Coturnix japonica: one gene and its partners. The protein of the gene in region 3 interacts with the protein of the main gene of each other region in a biochemical or structural test. Links are inferred from orthologs where the notes say so. Each region holds a gene or a part of one and is shown on either strand. Other genes may lie near its edges.

Evidence for each region. The genes of interacting proteins can lie anywhere in the genome.
Region 1: the proteins of UBE2I (region 3) and RBBP8 form a complex in vitro, tested with the Homo sapiens proteins (2 studies listed by BioGRID, with this or other methods). The link is inferred for Coturnix japonica from reciprocal best matches to the Homo sapiens genes UBE2I and RBBP8.
Region 2: the proteins of UBE2I (region 3) and USP36 form a complex in vitro, tested with the Homo sapiens proteins (2 studies listed by BioGRID). The link is inferred for Coturnix japonica from reciprocal best matches to the Homo sapiens genes UBE2I and USP36.

What each region holds. Positions count from the first base shown.
Region 1 is NC_029517.1:92,769,107-92,773,062, forward strand, and holds the start of RBBP8 (DNA endonuclease RBBP8), read left to right. Parts: upstream 1-1,156; 5' UTR 1,157-1,290; intron 1,291-3,956. UniProt on the Homo sapiens protein: Endonuclease that cooperates with the MRE11-RAD50-NBN (MRN) complex in DNA-end resection, the first step of double-strand break (DSB) repair through the homologous recombination (HR) pathway.
Region 2 is NC_029533.1:4,609,267-4,613,492, reverse strand, and holds the start of USP36 (ubiquitin carboxyl-terminal hydrolase 36), read left to right. Parts: upstream 1-1,426; 5' UTR 1,427-1,537; coding exon 1,538-1,540; intron 1,541-1,570; exon of another isoform or gene 1,571-1,675; intron 1,676-1,833; coding exon 1,834-2,098; intron 2,099-2,184; coding exon 2,185-2,397; intron 2,398-2,836; coding exon 2,837-2,947; intron 2,948-3,143; coding exon 3,144-3,246; intron 3,247-3,581; coding exon 3,582-3,649; intron 3,650-4,033; coding exon 4,034-4,104; intron 4,105-4,180; coding exon 4,181-4,226. Other genes in the region: TIMP2 (metalloproteinase inhibitor 2), read left to right, coding at 1-118. UniProt on the Homo sapiens protein: Deubiquitinase essential for the regulation of nucleolar structure and function. Required for cell and organism viability.
Region 3 is NC_029529.1:7,278,605-7,282,876, forward strand, and holds the start of UBE2I (SUMO-conjugating enzyme UBC9), read left to right. Parts: upstream 1-1,467; 5' UTR 1,468-1,583; intron 1,584-1,776; exon of another isoform or gene 1,777-1,910; intron 1,911-2,304; exon of another isoform or gene 2,305-2,582; intron 2,583-4,272. UniProt on the Homo sapiens protein: Accepts the ubiquitin-like proteins SUMO1, SUMO2, SUMO3, SUMO4 and SUMO1P1/SUMO5 from the UBLE1A-UBLE1B E1 complex and catalyzes their covalent attachment to other proteins with the help of an E3 ligase such as RANBP2, CBX4 and ZNF451.

The DNA.
Region 1 (3,956 bases), on a different chromosome or scaffold from region 3:
ATGAAGTATTCTTGCCTCCCAGCCATGAATATGAAGCAGCACAGCTGCTGCTTACAGCCTGTGTGCAATTGTAGTAGAGCGGCTTCTGTATCCTTCAGAGAAGGGTGTTGCCTCACCAGTAGTTCCTCATGGTTATGGAAGCATGTCCCATACCCTCGGTGTTCTGCAATTTGTTTCACCTTGAAATATCATGTGTGGTAATTCAGAGCAGCTTATACTAACCCAGACCTCCATGGAAGGCGTGAGGTGTGCATTTCACAAGCAGGCTCCCAGGATCCTGTCCCTAACATATAGCAAAGCTATGCAGAGTTCTATACATACATGTAGATATGCTTAAGTACTTAGAGCAGGACTGTAATGGGGGTTAGAACAAAAAAAGGGGACAAACCCTTCAGCAAGATCTGTGGTGATAGGAAAAGAGGAAATGGTTTCAAACTGGAACAGGGGAGATTTAGATTGGATGTAAGGAAGAAGTTTTCTACAGTAAGGGTAGTGAAGCAGTGGAACAGGTTGCCCAGAGAGGTGGTGGATGCCCCATCCTTGGAGACATTCAAGGTCAGGTTGGAGGGGCTCTGAGCAACCTGCAGGGGACTAGATGACCTTTAAAGCTCCCTTCCAACTCAAACAACTCTGTGATTCTACGAAGCAAGGCTGAATTGGAGCCTAGTTTCTGTCTTTTCACACTCAAGATTTGGTGTTAGTACTACAAAAAAGGTATTTTCTGACAAATTTCCTTTTGCAGTCACACTGAGCAAGACCTCTAGCCCAGTGCATCAGCACATAAAACGAAAGAAATTTTATAACACCACAGTCTTGCTACACTTACCATGAATGTATCACTCCCTCACCCCTCTGTAAATTATTTTGCTGGAGGCTACATCATTCCCTCTGAGCAGCACGCCGCGAGCTGACGGAGGCGTGAGGCACGAAGCCTCCCCAGTGCTGAGCTGCAGCATGTTGGGCGGCCTTTGATGCAAACTGGTTGTGCTGGTTCCCGGCGCCCCAGGAACCGGTCAGACGAGCCTGTTATGCCAACAAATTCTGGTATGATTCCACACTCTCCAGAATGCAGAAACCTGCCCAGCCAGTTAAATGAAAGGCATATTAGGTTATCCATTGCACATTGTATATATCCTAGGAGCAGCAGATCTCCTCTCGGCACTCTCTAGTGTGGTCCACGGTGGCTTCCTCATCTTACTTACGCTTGAGGTTTATAGCTGGAGGGGAAGTCAATAGTAAACATTTATCACCCCGATCAGGAGCAGAACTTTGCACAATTCAAAGAGAAGGGTGAGTTTTGAAAGCCTTTATTTAAAATTAATTTAAGATAACCTTAAGAAAAAAAAAAAATTATCTGATGCTTAAAATGGTATAATGGCTTCTTACATATATGATCTCCTTAAGGTGTCTGGGTACTGCCAGCCTCTGTGGTGCTTGGTGACAGGATTTTGGGGAGAGCAGCTTTTTGACCCTTCTTGTGCTCAGCTCAACATCTGTCTGCTGGAGTATTTACTGGAGGCAGTTTAAGGGACCGTGCATGGACTGAGAGAGAAACTTCACTGCCAATGAGTTAGTACATAGAGTGTGTCACTTGAGTGTTACCTCTTGGTCTCCTCTTTCATACAGCGTATGTAAGCTAAGTCTTCTTGCTGTGAAGAGGTGTAGTGCGACTACAGCAAGATGTGCTATTACTGGTTCATGTTGGATTACTGTTTTTATTTAATTATTCAGTTTTATGAGGTGAGTTAATTAAAACTAGATTTACATGTTGAGAATTGGCTTCCTGGTAAAATAGGAAATGTGCTTGTCATTCTTACCGCTTCCTTTCTACATAATTACCAGAAGTTTTCCTGTTTAGAACATACCAGGTAACGGTGGTGGCAACAGCAACAAAAAGCAATCCTAGGCATAAAGAGCAGGCAAACCTGAAGGTTGTACCTGTATCAGCAAGTGAATCCATTCACAAGTATGGTGTCAAATAAGAAAAATTAAACAGTGTGAAAACAAAAGCTGTGGAATCTGGTAACTGATTAACTACTGGAGCACAGAAGCACTTGCTGAGCTGAACAGAAAGGAATGAAGACAGGTTTTGTCATGCCTGTTAGGACAAAATAACTCTTTACCTTCACTAAATGTGAATGTTCTCACCATCCATGTAACTGCATTTTTAAAAACCCTTTCACAGTTATTTCTGGCTCCCTGGGAGTCATAATTTAGTCTATCTTCAAGTGAAATTATTATGAGTTTTCTTTCATGATGTTAAAAATGTAAATAAATCAGTGTTCCCAGTGGACACAAGCTGCTAGATGCAAAAAGATCTGTACGGCATTAAGAAAGAAGTTATAGTAGTCACCTAACAGGAAGCTTCAGTTATGGAGGTATTTATTGCCTGCTATTTCCAGGTTGATTAAAAATGAACATTATTATCCTTCTGTAAAATACCAATCTAAAAAATCTCCTAAGCAGCTAAAAAACCCAACGAGTAGCAGATTAAATGATCTTCTCATTAGTCACATTGTATCTCTGTGTTAAAACTATTCTTCCAATATGAAGTAACACAAAGGACACAGAGATTCCCTAAAGTTTTACACTCCCCCAAAACATAAAAACAATAACAACATAATAATAATTTAAAAAAAAAGTTTAAATTTTATCATCATTGTCGATTTTCCTATTAAATACAGAAAGAAATTTTGCAAATTCTGCTCTCCAAAGGAAAAAAAAAAATGGAACTGGCTGAACTGCATGGTTTGAGCAGAGACTCTGTAGAACCTATAAAATGCTACAAGAGAGTTTTGATTTCTAAAGCTACAGTGCTGGAACACAGTACCTTTCTTAAAATTCAGACCAAATAAATCAGCTTTACAAAATACTGTTTGCCATCTTCTCTCTCTGCAATTTGTGTTCTGCTTTATTTGGGTTTTCTTAGCTGCTTCTCTTCTTTTCTCTTCTTTCTTTAGAAGTGGGGGGGGGGGGGGGGGAGGAAGGGGCTTGGAAGGCAGGGGCTGTTGTTCAGATATTTTTTCCCCCTAAAGGTAAGTAAAAAGTTTCCCATTGTGTTATTTTCCTGTCCTGAATTCTTGTCATTCACTACAGCAGAAGGTAGATGGCACGATTTTGTACACAGAGCTGTACATTTTTATTTCAGCCTTCCATGCTGAAATAGCTTTCCAGGGCTGAAATATATATGCAAAGCTATTCATGATTACTCATGACAACCTGAGAAATATCAGTTAGAGCAAAACATTTCTGCACACAGCTCACTCAAACAGGTGCTCTCCTTAGAGTCTGAGGGCTATGAACACTGCACTGTGGTCCTGAAACAGAATCCCTCAGGTCCTGGAATGGGTTTCTTCACCATCAAGACTCTCTAAAATATCTGTGAGTTTCAGCTGAACAAATTCAAGCTGCTTCTGACTACAGATGAGCAGTGAAAGCACTTCAAAGAAGAGAGTCCGTTAAAGTGAACATTGTTAGTGGCATCAGGGAATTTGATCTTGGCTCCATTTCAGAAGTGGCTACGCAAGCAGCTTGAGAAGAATCACATTCAGCTAGTGGGGGGTGATGGAGTGGCAGAAAAAGCAAATAATACCAGTGCCAGACAGCGCAATGGTATGCACTGCATGCATTCCCAGATGTATGAAATCATACCACTCAGAGGACCTCCACTTCCTGCACTCCTAGTCAAACCCTGTTTAGGGGGTTCAGGTAACAGCTGAACTGCCACAAGCTCCTATTCACTGCATACAAAGCTGGGCTCCTTTGATGTCTTCATTGGCAAATGCAACATAAAGTTCATGAAATGAACATGCCTAGATGTTTAGCAACATATTTATCCCTCTGTGCAGATCTGCATCTCAGGGAGGTTGGGAGCACACTGGCCATGGATGTGTATGTGGAATCTGCTAAATCTTATGTAAATAAATAAGGAGTTCACCAGTGTGTATATATATCTA
Region 2 (4,226 bases), on a different chromosome or scaffold from region 3:
CGTGGGCGGGCGGCAGGCCAAGCACTACGCCTGCATCAAGAGGAGCGACGGCTCATGCGCCTGGTACCGCGGCATGGCCCCCCCCAAGCAGGAGTTTCTCGACATCGAGGACCCCTAAGCCAACCGAGTGCATTCCAGTAGCCAGTAGGAAAGCCCAGCGAGATGTTAGACTGGTCCACGCTGACATCGGGGCCTGGAGACAGCATGAAAACCCACACAGCCCCGAGGGGCCGCAGGGCATGGAGCTGCCGTGTGTGCATGGGGCGGGGGGGGGGCTCACTGCAACCGTGCATACCCTGCAATACCTGCACCCTGCGACCCCATTCCCTGCAGGCTGAATGCTGATGAGCTGCCCTCGGTCTGCAGGGGCACAGCTGCCAACTGGAGCTACCCAGCACCAGCACCGTGCCGTCCTCCATCCCATCCCTTGCTGTGGGGTGCCAGAAGGGTGCAGCTTGGCACCAGCTGCTCCCACCTGCAGGAGCCATGGGGCTCTCACCCACTGTAGCCCTTAGGGGCCGAATGGGGTTCACCCCTCGGAGGAGAGGGGGATGGCTGCAGGACACCGACCCCACACCCCCCCTCTCTGAGCCATTTCCCCATACACACGGCCGGCCCCAGCTCGGGGTATTTCATGCTGTACATCCCCATAGGGTGACGATGTGGCTCTGGACCAGTCTGGGCAACTTGAAGGTGTTAAAAGAAACAGTGAAAGAAAGGAAAGAAAAAAAAAAAACAAGAAAAAAAAGAAAAAAAAAGAAAAAAAACAACCCCAACCAACCCCACCCAGCCTCTAATCAGTCCCATATAGGACTCCCGTTCGCTTCTGTATGGTTATATCATATGTGCCATTTACTCCTGTCTCTGCTGGTAGCCTGTCTCTGAGTTTAATACCCCCCACTGTTCTGCCATCAGCTCTATCATTCCCGTGCTGTGATTATTTTGTCGTTTGTTTGGTTTATTGTTTATTTTTGTCGGGGGTTTTTGGGTTTGATTTCGGGGTTTTATTTCCCCCTTTAGGCGTTAGAATTGCACTTATTTTTCTAAAGGGGCTCCACAGTGGGGCAAAAAGGGGGGGGTTGGGGGGGGGGGGGGAATGATGGAGGGGCTGTGGGGCAGCGCTGGGGCAGGCCCCAACCCCCGGCCCCCCCTAAAGCCCCCCCTTGGAGCCGCTTTAATTTATGGCCGTGGCTCTGCTTTGGGGTCAGCAGCTCGATGTGGTGTTTAAAAAAAGGAGGGGAAAAAAAAGAGGTTAAAAAAAAAGAGACAAAAAAGTTTACGTATAGTTATTTTCAGATCTCTGCTTGATAAGTATTAAAGTCAGATGTATCTAACGTGCTGCCGTGATTTAAAGCTGGGCTTGGGGGGTGGGTTTTTCTTGTTTTTTTGGGGGGGGGCGTGGCCATGTGATTATAGGGGCGTGCTTTGCGTTAGACCCTGCCCCCATAATGGGGGTGGTGCGGAAGTGGTTCGTGTCGGCGGCGCCACGCGGGAGCCGCCCATTGAAGGCGGTGACACGTGCGTGGACGGGACCCGGATGGTGCGTGTGGACCGGGCCGGGCCGGGGGGACGGGGCTGGGTGTACGGCGGGTGGTTCGGGGGGGGCGGGGGAGGTTCGGAGCCCGCGTGGTCTGTGCCGCATCTCTGCGCTGCGTGGGGCCGCTGCGGAGCGACGGTACCGGGCGGGGCGGCACGTGGTGGCGGGGCTCAAGGTCGCGGGTGGCGGTGGGGGCCGGGGATGGGGGAGAACGGAGCTAAATGGGGCTGAATGGGGCCGGATTCGGCCGCTCCTCGTGGCGCCCCCCGCTCACCCCCCCTCCGCCCATCCCCCAGCCCGGCCCCGCGATGCCGATCGTGGAGAAGCTGCGGGAGGCGCTGAAGCCGGGCCGCAAGGAGCCGAGCGAGGACGGGGAGCTGGGCCGGCTGCTGGCCGCCTCGGCCAAGAAGGTGCTGCTGCAAAGGATCGAGTTCGAGCCTGCGAGCCGTGGGCTGTCCGGGCAGCTGGAGCTGCTGCGGGGCAAGTACCGCCCGCTCAACGCCAGCACCGGGACCAACGCGCCCCGCCCGCCCCCACCGGAGGGGCCCAGCAGGAAGCACGGTGCGTGCCTCTCCCCAGGCAAATCGGAGTGTGTATATGGGGGGGGTCCCGGTGAAGCCCTCCGCTCACCGCCCTCCATCCCTCAGGAGGCGATCACGGACCCGGGGATGGTGTCCCCGCCCCGCAGAAGGTGCTGTTCCCCGCAGAGCGGCTCTCCTTGAAGTGGGAGCGTGTCCAGCGGGTGGGCGCCGGGCTGCACAACCTGGGCAATACCTGCTTCCTCAACGCCACCCTGCAGTGCCTCACCTACACGCCGCCCCTCGCCTGCTACCTGCTGTCCAAGGAGCACAGCCGTGCCTGTGAGTGGGGTGTGGGATAGTGCTGTAGGGCTGGGGGGGGGTTATATATGGGGGGAGGGCTGCCCTGGGCTGGGTTGGCCCCCAATGGCTGCAGAACTGCCTGGGGTGGTTCCTGGTGGCACGGCCCACAGCCTGTCGTCAGTGCCCCATTCATAAAGCTCAGCTCTGCCCTATATACAGACCTGCTGGCTTGTCTGGGAGGTGCTGGTGCCCTGTGTGCCACCCTTACAGATGGGTGTTCTCATCTGCAGCGTTATCTGTGACCTAGGCACTGCCAGCTGGTGTGTCATATGCTTGTCCTTGTCCCCTGGGCTGCACTGTGCTATAGCATTGAGCTCATGGGGAGGGCTGTGCTGCATGGCCACAGGGGTTCCCCTTCTCTCTCACCCCCTCCATCCCTCCTGCCTTTGTCCCCAGCGTCCTTTCTTCTCTCCTGCAGGTCACCAGGGAGGTTTCTGCATGATGTGCGTTATGCAGAACCACATGATCCAGGCTTTTGCCAACAGCGGCAACGCCATCAAGCCGGTGTCCTTCATCCGAGACCTCAAGAGTAAGGATGGGTCCTTCCACGCTGTGCTCCCCTGCTGTGACTCACGAGGCTGGGGCAGGTCCTGGCAGTGAGTGGCTCGGAGCTGATTCATGGAGGCTGAGCTGCCGCAGGACCACATGGGGCTGCCCCACAGCTTGGCTTTGGGGGGGGGCATAGAGGCTCTGTATGCAGGATTTGAGCCCTTTTTTCCCTGCAGAGATTGCCCGGCACTTTCGCTTTGGCAGCCAGGAGGATGCACACGAGTTCCTGCGTTACACCATCGATGCCATGCAGAAGGCCTGCCTGAGCGGCTGCACCAGGTACACACAGCTCTGAGTACTGGGGTACTGAGGCCATCTCTGCTCCATGATACAGCCCTGGGCTGTGCCCTGCTGTGGGGCTGAGACCCAGGGCACCAGCACTGCATCCACCTTCAGTGCAAGGCTCTGAGCTGCAGCTGGGAGCAACCATGCTTGGAGAGCATTGGGTACACACAGCCTGGTGCTCCCTGAGCTCAGGCACTGGGATCCACAAAACAGCAGAAGCACTGCATCTTCCCTGTCCTTATCACAGTCTGTGGTTGGTGCGGGACACAGGGGTGGCCTTTGCATTGTGGTGTGGAAGAGCAGTGATAGATGTGGTGTTTCTCTTCCAGGTTGGATCGCCAGACCCAGGCCACCACGCTGGTTCACCAGATCTTTGGTGGCTACCTGCGGTCCCGTGGTGAGTGCTGCTGCTGGGCTGCTGTTACCCCAACAGCTCTGCACTAAAAATCATTTGGGAAAATGGCCAAGCATGTGTAAATCACCCAAAGCTGTGCTTTGCCACTCCTGCCATGCCTGTGGGTCTTGGCTCCTGTTGTGGCAACACAGAAAGCTGTTGGCTGCGGGTCCTTGGCTCTTTGTCACTCATTGAAGGAACCAACGCTTGCAGCTGTTGAGCAACAATTGCTATGCCAGCAGCCTTCCTCCCTGCCAAGCTGCAAATGCCCAACAGAAATGTTGGTGCTGGCATCCCAGAGCCCAGACCCATAGAGGGGCAGCGCTGCAGCTGCTGAATGGCAGGTGCAGATGTAGCAGGGTGCACTCACTGCTCTTTCTTTTGCAGTGAAATGCTCCGTGTGTAAGAGTGTCTCAGATACCTACGACCCCTTCCTGGATGTGTCCTTGGAGATCAGGGTATGTCAGTGGGCACTGTGTTATGGTGTAGTGTGGACAGGTCACACATGCCCTGAGCTCTGCCCTGTCCTTGCAGCAAGCTGCAAACATCGTGCGGGCGCTGGAGCTGTTTGTGAAATCAG
Region 3 (4,272 bases):
AGCACTTCATTTAAATACAGAATGTTTTATTTCTCTGTAGTCATTCAAAGCAGCAAATCCTTTTCTGTTTCCTCAAAGACTTGATTACAGAAAAAGCCGTGCTTATTTGGAAGTACATCCACTGGGAAATTAAGGTATTTTCCTTTGTGTTTATACAGTCACTGATCATTATAGCAGGAAATTGTCCCTTCTGGGATGGGTATATAACCAAGAAGAGTGTCAAGTTTTAATTAATGACTTTGTGTATATTTTCTTTCATTCACGGAGCTAACAAATCAACCTGCCTAACCTCACTGATTACTTTTTGAATCCAGTATGTAGATTTTTAATAGAAATACTTATATCTGAAAAATGAATCTGAAAGTGACACTTTGTAATAAGAAATGTAAATAAGCCAATTAATGAATTCTGGAATCTTAGGGGGGTACACCATTAAGAATGAGGTGAATTTCATCTTAATAGTTTTAATCAGTTTTAAATGCAAAGCATGTTTAAAGTTTTCCTTACATCTTCCATTAGTGATGGTCAGGATGCTTTCTGTACACAGCTCTTCTCCATCTCTCCTCCAGCATTTACTAGTTAAAAGGAATACAGTAACTAATGCCATAAGTATTTGTGCGTTAGGGTGAGAGAAGAAAGTTGGGCAGGAGGGCCCACAGAAAGAGAGACATCCTATTTTGCATCATTGTGCTGTGCAGTGGGGTAAAGCATGTATAGGAAAAGGAGATATTCATTCCAAGGGAAGACAATTCCTCTTGAATGAGAGAAGCTCAATGAAGATGGGGTGAGAATACGACAAGTGTTTTGAGGATCTGGTTTGTTTCTATTTTCTGAGACCAACCTGGGGAAGGTTCCTCCATCGTTTCTGTGGAGTTAAACCGAGATTAAATTGAAATGTGAGCGTGGATTGTTTAGAGAATAAATAAATCAAACCAGGGAAGGAGCTGCCGGAGCACTGGGCTCACCCTCCTGGTTAAACACGGGAGTGGCTGCACATTAGAACCCTCATTTAAGCTGCCTTTAAACCCTCAGCCCATGAAGGCTCCGCACCCATCCCTGCATCGCCGCCATAGTGTCTTTATCAGTAGAATTTGATAATTCCTGCCCTTGGTTTTTCACACAGAGCTTTGGCCTGATGACACCTTGCTTTGTGCTGTGTTATGGGTACTGACAGGAGATCATTGTTGTCCCATCAATATATAAGTGCTTATTTATGGCAATGCCTAATGATGGCAGAATGGAGGGGAAGATAAGCCATGGTTGGTATTAAGGCGCTATATACGGTGCAGTTCAATGGACAGACCATGGCCGGATGCTGCTCAGAGGTTTAAAGACCCGACATGTTTCGTTACATTAAACGTGAATGTTCCAAACAAACCCACAGCGACACGAACCCCCTGCAGGCGGGATGGCCCCGCCCCCTCCTGGCTCTGCCCAATGACAGCTCAGGGTCGACTCCCCATCCTCCAATCAGAGACGCGGGTGGTGGCGGTGGGCGGGTCCTATCGAGCTGAGGCGCAGTGGCCGGCCCCGCCGTGTTCTCGGGCCGGTTGTCGGGCACGGCTGACTCCACAGCGCCTGAGGTAAAAGTTCCGCCCGTGTTTCCGTGGCGGCTCGTCGTTGTGCCGGGCCGTGCTCGGATCCGCTCCGCCTCGTGTCGTTCCCCGCTCAGGCGCTGTCGGGCCGCCCGCAGGTCCTGCCGAACCGCGCCTGCGCAGCGGGACGGACGGGTCGGGCCGAGGGACACACGGCGATAAAGCGAACGGCACCGAGAGAGGGAGGGGGAGAGAGGAAGGGAGAGGGAGGGAAACTCCGGAGCAGAGACAAAGGGGGGGAGCGGAGCCGGGAACATCCGGGTCATTCGCCGCTGCCTCAATCCGGGACACACGCGGGTGCTGCGGCCGAGCACGGTGAGGCCTGGCCGGGAGCGGGGCCTGGGGCGGCGGGGCCCGGCCCGGTGCGGCCCGGCCCGGTGCGGCCTGGTCCGGTGCCTCGCGTTGCGGCGGTTCGCGGGCACGGCGGTTCCCGGCGGTTCCCGGTCGGCGCGGCCGGGCCTGACGGCGTCTGGCTGCCCAACTCGGGACGGCTCCGCTCTGTCCCTGCGCCGCGGCCCGCTCAGCTCTCGGCCGCCTACGGGGCGCACTCGGCGGCTGAGCTGCGTGCGCCGACCGGCTGCGCCCAGCGCTCCCCGCCCCGCCAATAGCTCGCCCGGCACACACAGGCCTCGGCCGCTCCGCGGGGCTCGCGAGACCAACGGCGGCGGCGGCGGCCGGGACAGCGCTGCGCCGCTCCGTGCTGGGCCGCCCCGCGGTTCCTTTTGTTGTTCTCGGAACTACCGTGCGGGTCGGTGCCGCCTGAGCCGCTTATTGCGCTGCAGACTTTGTGCGGCAGTTTTAGGCGCTGCGATTTGGTTCCACCTCAACCATTGAGTTTCTCTGACTGGAAAGGAAAGGAAAGGAAAGGAAAGGAAAGGAAAGGAAAGGAAAGGAAAGGAAAGGAAAGGAAAGGAAAGGAAAGGAAAGCTGCCCCGGCAAACAGCGCAGGTTTAACGATCCTTACAGCGTCTGCTTCTGATTCGTAATGTAATCGGTCTTAACGATTTGATTCATGTATTGATTTTTGAATGAATGGAGAATGAAGGAGCACGTTGTGTATATACAGATTTGTAATGGGGCAGGGATGCAGGCGCGGTGATCACTGTGCTATGGGAGCACTGTGCTGTGCTGGGGCTGCTGGATGGATGGCACAGCAGTGTGGGCTGGGTTTGGTCCCAGTGCAGGTAGTGCCAGCAACAGAGCTGAGCTACCAGCACTCTGGGAAGTTTCTAGTGAGTTGGTAGTGATAAATGGGCCGTTGGTACCTCCTGGTGCTGGTGTGTGCAGGAGGGAATAGTGCTAAATTGAATGGGAGGACAGAGATGGATTTTCTCCAGCTTAGAACTTGGTGTTCTTTCTAATGATGGACCTCTCCCATACAGTAAGTTGGGACTTAATTGTGTTCATTCAGTCACCTTCTCAGGTGAGGGAAGGAAAGTCAATGGGATGCAATATCTGAAACAAGTGTAAAAAAAAAATCCATAAACCAAGTGTTTAAAATCTGTTCCGTGGTGGCCGTTGTTCACCCTCCTGGAGTCACATGGGAGAACTGTGCAACTTTGAGATCAAAAACCTGTAGGAAAACTGCACCTCCCTCCCCCCAAAAAAATCTGGATTTCTGGTAAGGTGAAAATGAAGTTTGGATAGGGTTGGTTTGCTGGCTCAGTGCAGTCAGTCCATCTGCTGCACTCTGCCTGAAGATGATAATTGCAGTTATTTAAGTCCTGCCTGAGACATTGGAACCGGAGTCTTGCAGAAGAGGGAGAGCAAATACAGGCATTAGTTCAAGCTCAGACGGGGCTGAGCTGTTCTGTCCCAGTTGTGTTCAACATTACTAAATAATGAGGTGAAGTTTGACTATTGCTTGACATAATGAAAAACAAAAGTTCAAACCAAGAGCCACTAAACTTCATGTAGTTGTGGTAAGTTAAAAGTATCAGCTAATGATCAGCTAATGATTACTAATACATAAAACAGTGTAATAGAACTGATTTCTTCAAGGTGTTTAGGAGTCTCACTCTGGTTAGATGTGCCAGAAGTGACTGCTGTTAAATCCCTGGCAAGTATCAGTGTTTATCGGATTTCCATTACGTGGCCTTAATATTCAGGGGACTGGAATGGCAAATATTAAGTAGACTAAATATACGTACCTGGCAGCTAATTTGAGAATACAAATGCTTATCTCTTGGTCAGGGCTATCTTGATATCTCCTTGTTAATCATGATTGTAAAGTGTTCGGATTTGGTCTCCAGGTGCTAAAAGCACAGCTGAAATTCTGTCACATGTTCGTTGGTTAATTAAAATCTCTAGGAGGGGTGTGAGCTCATGGAATAAAATTCCTCCCCTTATAGTTTTGTTCTGGTTTCTCTTGGGATGCTCTGCTTCTCTTGCTGGACAGTTGGCTGAAAGCTGAAGTGTTATCTATGGTTCTGGTGTGAAGTCCTGCAAGTGTTCTTACATAACCAGGACACTGGTGTATGTATTGGGAACATGAGAATGAGTGCAGGCTTCTTTTGTGTGTGTTTACTGCACAGAGCATTAATGGTGCCTTCTAAAAAGCTTTAACTCTAGTTACGTTCTAGCAGGGATTGTACTATTGAAATGATGGACTGTGGATGTGCAGGCTGATCTGACTTAGGGAAAAAGAAGGGAGAGGAGAGAAGGAAGAAGGGTTTTT